Caenorhabditis elegans: one gene and its partner. The protein of the gene in region 1 purifies or fractionates together with the protein of each later gene. This does not show direct contact. Each region holds a gene or a part of one and is shown on either strand. Other genes may lie near its edges. The genes, in order: ZK1320.3 and F54D5.4.

Evidence for each region.
Region 2: the proteins of ZK1320.3 (region 1) and F54D5.4 fractionate together in Caenorhabditis elegans (co-fractionation; one large-scale study listed by BioGRID). This does not show direct contact.

The regions. Positions count from the first base shown.
Region 1 is NC_003280.10:9,658,568-9,662,219, reverse strand, and holds ZK1320.3 (uncharacterized protein), read left to right. Parts: upstream 1-1,800; 5' UTR 1,801-1,804; coding exon 1,805-1,968; intron 1,969-2,161; coding exon 2,162-2,250; intron 2,251-2,349; coding exon 2,350-2,451; intron 2,452-2,496; coding exon 2,497-2,627; intron 2,628-2,698; coding exon 2,699-2,776; intron 2,777-2,872; coding exon 2,873-2,935; 3' UTR 2,936-2,974; downstream 2,975-3,652. Other genes in the region: cyp-13A10 (Putative cytochrome P450 CYP13A10), read left to right, coding at 1-87, 134-433, 479-735, 783-926, 1,065-1,305; ZK1320.2 (uncharacterized protein), read left to right, coding at 3,222-3,385, 3,528-3,616.
Region 2 is NC_003280.10:11,567,731-11,571,586, forward strand, and holds F54D5.4 (DUF19 domain-containing protein), read left to right. Parts: upstream 1-2,087; 5' UTR 2,088-2,088; coding exon 2,089-2,146; intron 2,147-2,316; coding exon 2,317-2,550; intron 2,551-2,593; coding exon 2,594-2,685; intron 2,686-2,992; coding exon 2,993-3,088; intron 3,089-3,133; coding exon 3,134-3,214; 3' UTR 3,215-3,274; downstream 3,275-3,856. Other genes in the region: F54D5.23 (Ovule protein), read right to left, coding at 1,225-1,305, 1,438-1,512.

The DNA of each region.
Region 1 (3,652 bases):
TTCACAATGGATACTATAGGACGAATTGCAATGGGTCAGACCGACTCGCAAATGTTCAAAAATCCACTTTTGAAGTTTGTCAGAGCGGTTCGTTTTGGTACTATTACCAGTGAAATTCAACATATATTTCCAGATATTCGGAGATAATCGAAAGCATATTCCCCTCATCGGTGGAGTTTTTCCTACTCTTGCTCAAGTTTTTCGATTTTTTATGTTGAAATTTCCATTGTTGGGAGCAGCCAATTTCATTCACGTCAACAAAACTGTTGTGACAGCCGTTCAAAATCGTATAGATCAGAGGGAGAATGATAGAAAAAATGGAATTGAAATCGGAGAGCCACAGGATTTTATCGATTTATTTTTGGAAGCAAGAGCAGATGATGTGGAGCATTTTCAAGAGAATAATGGGGATTTTTCAAAGACTAGTAGCTATGTGAGTTTCAGGAGAAAAATTATTCCTGAATTTAAAAAATTGCAGGGAAACCGTCAACTAACAACTCAAGAAATAGTCGGTCAGTGTCTCGTTTTTTTGATTGCTGGCTTCGATACAACTGCTCTATCCTTATCCTATACTACATTTCTCCTAGCAACACATCCAGAAGTTCAAAAGAAATTACAAGAAGAAATAGAACGAGAATGCATAGAACCATCAATTTCATTTGATCATCTCTCAAAACTAAAATACATGGATTGTATTATCAAAGAGACTTTACGTTTGTACCCTTTGGGAACAATGTAGGAGTTTTAAATTTATACTTCACATAAAAAAACAATTATTCCAGGGCGAACTCTCGGAGATGCATGAGAGCCACTAAATTGGGAAATGTAGAAGTTGAAGTTGGAACAATGGTTCAAGTAGATACTTGGAGTCTTCATACTGATACAAAGATTTGGGGAGATGATGCGAAGGAGTTCAAGCCAGAAAGGTTTTTTTTTCAAAATTAAAAAATATATTCAGATGTATTATTGGCTTAATTTTTGAAAGTTTTAAAAAGCGAATCACTTTGGAGAGTATTCCACCTTTTAAATTATTTAGTAAGAGATCCTACTAGTTATTATTTCAGATGGCTTGACCCCAACTGTGACCAAGTTTTCCAAAAAGGAGGATATATTTCATTCGGATTAGGACCTCGTCAGTGCGTTGGAATGCGATTGGCTTATATGGAGGAAAAGATGCTCTTGGCTCATATTCTTAGAAAATATACATTTGAAGTTGGCACCAAGACAGAAATCCCATTGAAATTAGTTGGAAGAGCCACGACTCAACCGGAAACTGTTTGGATGCATTTGAAGCAAAGGATATGAACTCAATAATTTTCGACCCTCTTTGTTTGTATTTTAGTCATCGAAAAAGCTTTCAAATAAAACTTTCTTGCTTTTTAGAGTCTGAAAATGTTCAGCCTATTTTCTGAGAAACTCGTCTATCCTTTAATTGAAGAACAATTTTGAAAAACATATCAGACTAATTTGGTATTTCTACTAATTTTACTCGCATAAACTTTTGAATCATCTGATTGTGAGCAATATTGGATCAAGAAATCAGTTTTGTTAAGCTGCTGGCTCCCCGGAATCAATGCTCATAAACTTATCTGTAAACAACTTGTCCTTTAACTTTTCCAGTGATATCATTAGTGCTTTCCCATTTTTCTATTTAATATTCTTATCACTATAACTGAATGTCAAAAGAAAACGCTCATAATTTAAAAAACGTCAGTTTTAGACTGATAACTCTCTCCACAATTCATACTAATTTGACCATTTGCTACTTAAATTTTTTGAAGCATATATTTATATTTTCAGGAGAATGAAGTTTCTTCTTATTGCTTGTTTGGCAGTTCCTGCAATCTTAGCTCAACAGACGTCTGCTCCAGGTGGAAATTTGTGTACTTATCCTCCACAAGGAGATGAATCAAACCAAAAGGCTGTTCCTATTCAGGACTTCAGAACGTCTGGATTAGATTTCGTTAGGTCAGTTTATGTTCAAAAATTGGAACAGCTTTAGTAATGATTGGTTTAGGCCGCGGCCAAGTTATGTTGAGCCAACTCTTGATGGTCTTACTAGTTAGACCCAGAAAAATACTTTGGCAACAGTGGGATACTAAACGATTACCAATTTTTGAACCACATAAATAGCCGAATATCTTAATTTAAAAAGTTTCAGACCAAATTGGTGCATCACCCACTGTGCTGACCGCAAATCTGTCAAAGCTGCTGTTCGCTTCCAATTTGCCAATCAGTCAACTGCAGTCCGTAAGTTAACATAGATCAGTACACTAAAGTACATGTAAAAACATTTGGAACATTATGAAAATACCAGTAAACATCCTAGAATTTAATGGGAATTTTCAGCAACCTACAAAGTTCGCCGTACTTTCACCCGTTATTCAGGAATGAAGGTTCATGCTGAGCTGATCAGCGGAAACCCGACCAAGCGTGACGATGATCCTTTTAGTAAGTGATTTCATCTTATGGTATAAATACATGTCAAAATTTCAGACTTCTGTATGGACGATGCTGTGTCGGCCCAGATTGATACTATTGTCAACACCTACAATGACATCGAAACCATGTCAGAAGCCCTCAACTTCTATATCAACAAGCCAGGATGGGCGTATATTATTTACGATGTAAGTTACACAAGTTTTTTTTTGGAAAATATATAGGTGTCTACTATTTCTACTTGAATACATATATTCAGATGGGAGTACCACCAAGCATCATTGAGACTGACAATGTCAAACACGATATGAACTACTGTGAGAAGTCTTCTAACAAGGTAAGTACTCAGAAAATGTTGTAAAATGCAACAAAACCAGACCTGCAAGTATCCGAATTAGAAATTAGACCTCACCAAATTTTACAAATTTTTCAGCAAATGCCGGATGGAACCTACATGACATATCAAGTATTCGCAGGACTTATCAAGGCTAATTGATTTTTTTCTTTTAATTTTTAATAAACGATTTAACTATTTAAAGTTTTACATTGAATATTTGATTCTTATTATTCTCAAAATGAAATCATTAGTGATTTTTCAATATTTAATTTTCCACTCTTTATTTTCCGTTATCAACACATTCAACTGGCAAAAGAGGAGGCCGGTGATGTGGAAAATTTCAGTTTTTAACTGATAACTTCCGATAATTTGACCATTTGCTACTCGCTTTGAAACGTTTTTGAGTATAGTTTCCTTTTCATTTTTATCGAGAGTTTTTAGGAAAATGAAGCTTCTTCTCCTTGCCTGCTTAGCAGTTCCAGCAATTTTTGCTCAACAAACTTCTGCTCCAGGAGGAAATTTGTGCAATTATACTCCAGTTGGAGATGAATCCACACAGGATGCAGTTCCAATTCAAGATTTCCGATCCTCTGGATTGGATTTTGTGAGGTTAGTATATTCCTTTTCAAGATTAAATTAAGAATTCATGTAAAGTCAGAGTGTCTGATCTAGAATTGTTTTATCCTTTTAATCAATAATTTTAAATTTAATTATTCAAATCCAGATGAAAAAATCCATTTCTACTTTTCAGACCAAATTGGTGCATCACTCACTGTGCTGACCGCAAATCCGTCAAGGTTGCTGCACGTTTCCAATTTGCCAATCAGTCAACTGCAGTTCGTAAGTTAGCGTTCAAAAAATATTGAAAGCCACTTC
Region 2 (3,856 bases), 1.9 Mb from region 1:
TCTCTAGAATACAAACACATGAGATTTTACAGTAACGTAACTAGATGCTAAAGAATCTGGAATTCATGAACAAATATAATATGTTTTCCGTCAGAACTTATTTGAGGAAAAAACATTCGAAGAAAATGGTTTTTAAATTAAATTTTGAATATTGGCCAATTAGACAAGACAATATTTCGTGGGCCCCACCACGCCTTGAACGCGTGTACTGTAGCCTGAAAATTTGTTTAAAATTTTAAGAAATTTGAACTTTAGAAGATATTTTCTGTCAGAAAATTAATAAAATAAATAGTTAGTGAAATGAGACTAAACTATAACTTTTGTAGAAAACGTTTGAAAAATTGCAAAGCTGCCCAAAGTATATCACTCAAAAACCGGTCAAACTACCAATTTTGGCATCTTTTTTTTTTTGAAAAAAATCAGTACACACTGACAGAAAAGTACGAGCAAACAGAAAAATAACCGCCGCTGAAGGCAATTCAAATAAACGTTCGGCATTGATCCTTTGAACTGTCCAGAACAAAGGGTGGTGATTGCAACGGAGCAGTAGTCGGTAGCCGGGAGGTATAACTGAACCACGTAGTAGAATTAGAGTGTGTAGTTGAGCAAGATATTATCTATGTACCAAGTTAGCATTAGTTATTGGTAAGTAGCAATATTGATTTTTGTTATCTAAAGATCTTAAAACCACTTTTATAGTTCTAAAATCACAAAATAACACAATTAATCTCTTCAACAAGAAAAATTAATTGTTAAAAATTGAACTTTTTAATAGACTTCGTTTTTGCCTACCACAGTTCAAAGAAGTTTAAACAAGGTTTATATCTTAATTTGGTTTAACCTTTGTTGCACTCGAAACTATTCAAAAAAGATACCAATATTTTGATAATTTGGTAATTTACCAAAACTTTATTTAAATATTGCCAAAAATCTAGGAAATTTTAGTGTTTCATTAGGAAATTTGGGTATTCTATGAATTCAATTTTCATGCAAAAAAAAACAACAAAAAACAACAATAAAATAAACTTTCCTCACAAAACAATAACTTATGTGAATGAAAAATGAAATCGCTGAGAGATTTTTCCGATGAGCAGCTGTTGTTAGTCCGCGCGGAAGGGCTCACTCTCTTTAGCGGCTACCGTTTATTCTACTCAACAGGTGTATACGGTATGTCGTCCGATTTGACTAATTGAAGGTAGTCGTTCACACAGGAAAAGACACAATTCACAGATGGTATTTGTTTGCTTTTGAGGTGTGAGAAGAAGAAGATGGAAAGGGTGACTTCAGAGGTATCCCATTGAGATGCTAAAAAAAAAAAATTGATTCAATTAATAATGGCTAACTCCTGTATTGAAAAGGCAACAATTGAAAGTATTCGGCAATTTGATTGAAGTTTTGACAGTACTAGAAACATCCACGCTTATTGATAGATCTGACCTCTACAATACGTTCTGGCTCAACAGCCTGATCCAAGTGCTCGACAGGCATCTGATGTTCCAATTCTTTATCCATCACGGTATTCCACGTTTTTTTTGCTGGAGCAATCAATTGCCAAAAAAAAATAAGACCATTTTTTAAACAATATTTCAAAAAATATAGATGATGTTTTTGATTTTTTGCACCAACTCAAACCCTTACCTCTTTCAAATGTCATTTAATCAGCCAAACTTCAATTGCCACTTAGATAAGAATAATGAAATCATCGTTAGGTTTCCATATAAAAATGTATATCAGTTTGTAAAAAAACCTAGTTTATCAATGCGAAATAGGTTGAAATAGTATTTCCTTTGTATATACAGAAGATTTTTTTTCAACCTTGTGAACACTTTATTATATTTTTCGGGCACTTTATTTATTTAATGTTTTACTTCCTTAATCTGCCATTTAAAGGTATTCTTCCAACTTTGAATGCACCGTTACATCTACTAGATGTTCCGGGGGTGACTAGGGCCCCTAGCGCCCACCATAGCCAATATTGTCAATTTTTCGGAATATAACCCGTTGTTAGAATTATTTTCTTATAAGGTTAAATTCTTCCGTTTTTGGAAGTGTTTCCGGGAAAAATACAGTATTATCTTATTTTGTAGAATGAACCAAATCGTTTCTGCTTTGCTGATCTTTGCAGTCGGATACGCTACTGGAAATCGTGAGTTTCTTTTCTTGAATTTAAGAATTAATAAACTCATTTTGTCATTTAAGTTTAGCCAAAACATGTTTAGGTCGCAAATTGTTACCATGAATTTGTCATAAAAAGGTTCAGAACTTCCACATGGTTAGGGCTTAGCTCCTCTCAAATTCGAATCTTTTAAATTCCAGTTTGTACTGACGACACTGGTTATTGGATCAGTTCCCTTGCCGAAGGTGTCTCTGATTTCGCATATGGAGGAACTAGACTCAACACCAAATACTATTGCTTTGAAGGATGCTTGAATACTGGAACTGCTCTTCAAAATTGCAAAGTTGATATGTCTGGAAATAATGGCACAAGAATTGAGAGATCACGAGAGATTAAAGAAGTAATTGCTTTGCATCAACTTGCTAGACAAAGAGGTTCTAGAAGTTAAAAATGAAATTTCAATAGAATTTTGTTTAGACGAGGATCCAAATGCAAAGTCCTGTGTAGATCCAGTTTTGAGACAAGACGTCAAGAATGCTCTTCAGAAAACTACGAGAAGCAATTGCAAGGTTTGAGATTTGACTTCAGCTTCGAAATTCTGGAAACTTTGAAATCCTGATTCTCCAAATCATAATATTTCCTGCAACCTCAAAAAATTCAGACCAATATATAGCTTAGCTTACGGTTTGACCAATAATCAATATTTCACACACTTAACCTTATAAGGCCTTCCTGTGGGGCCTTACCTCTAGTCTTTTTCTCAGAACTCAGAATATTAATCAATTCTTATCATGTCAAACATTAAGTTCAATCTTAAATTGGAAAGATCTCAAATCAGATCAGATCCCCAAATTGGCTTACATTCAATTTTTTCAGAACATTGTCAACACCTTGGTGCTCAACCTCAATCGTCCAGGATGGGCGATCACTTGCATTCAATTCAATGAATTCGCTATTGATGATTATACTCCGGTATGAAATATGCCTAGATCTCATTGAATTTGAAATATCTTTCAGGACATGAACTTCTGCAGTTACGACTCTGTTTCTGACACTGATATCTTTACTATTCGTCTGGCAAAACTTGATATGTCCTAAACTATGGTAGTTTGGACAAACTTATCGATAATTTAGAGAATAAATATAATATTCGTTCAAATTTTTGATTTAAGCATGAAAAAATTAGGAGAAACTTGACAATTTAATATTAAAAAAAACCAATCTGTCTAAATTTTAAGTTCTGTCAAAAACTGTCTCCGCATTGCTCACACTTTGCCACGTTGCAATTTTCCCTTTTCTCATCGTCGTGTACGAATTTTTTCGTAATTTCTAATGAGTTATTGAGAAGTTCTGAGAATAGTTCAAATTTTAATTGAAAATTTCAAGAAGTTGCTGAAAAACTGACTCAAAGTCGCAATGTGCAGTTTGAGCCAGTTTTGAGAAGCTTCTCAATATACATTTTCGAGAAAAAACCTGGACATAACGATGGAAATATTCGATTTTGTAAGTATTGCCAATATGAGGTTAATGTTAGACAGTAGCTCTTTTTGTTTTATTTATGAAAATGCGGAAATTTGGCGCTTCAGATAAATCATGACGTCATGAAAACCTCTTCCATATGACGTCATATTTTTCGGTGTCAACTGAATTAACTTGTAGAAGGTACAAAGTCTAGGCTAACTGTGAGAGGTATTCTCCATTTCAAGTACTTTTTACATCTCGAATTGAAATTGATTCATA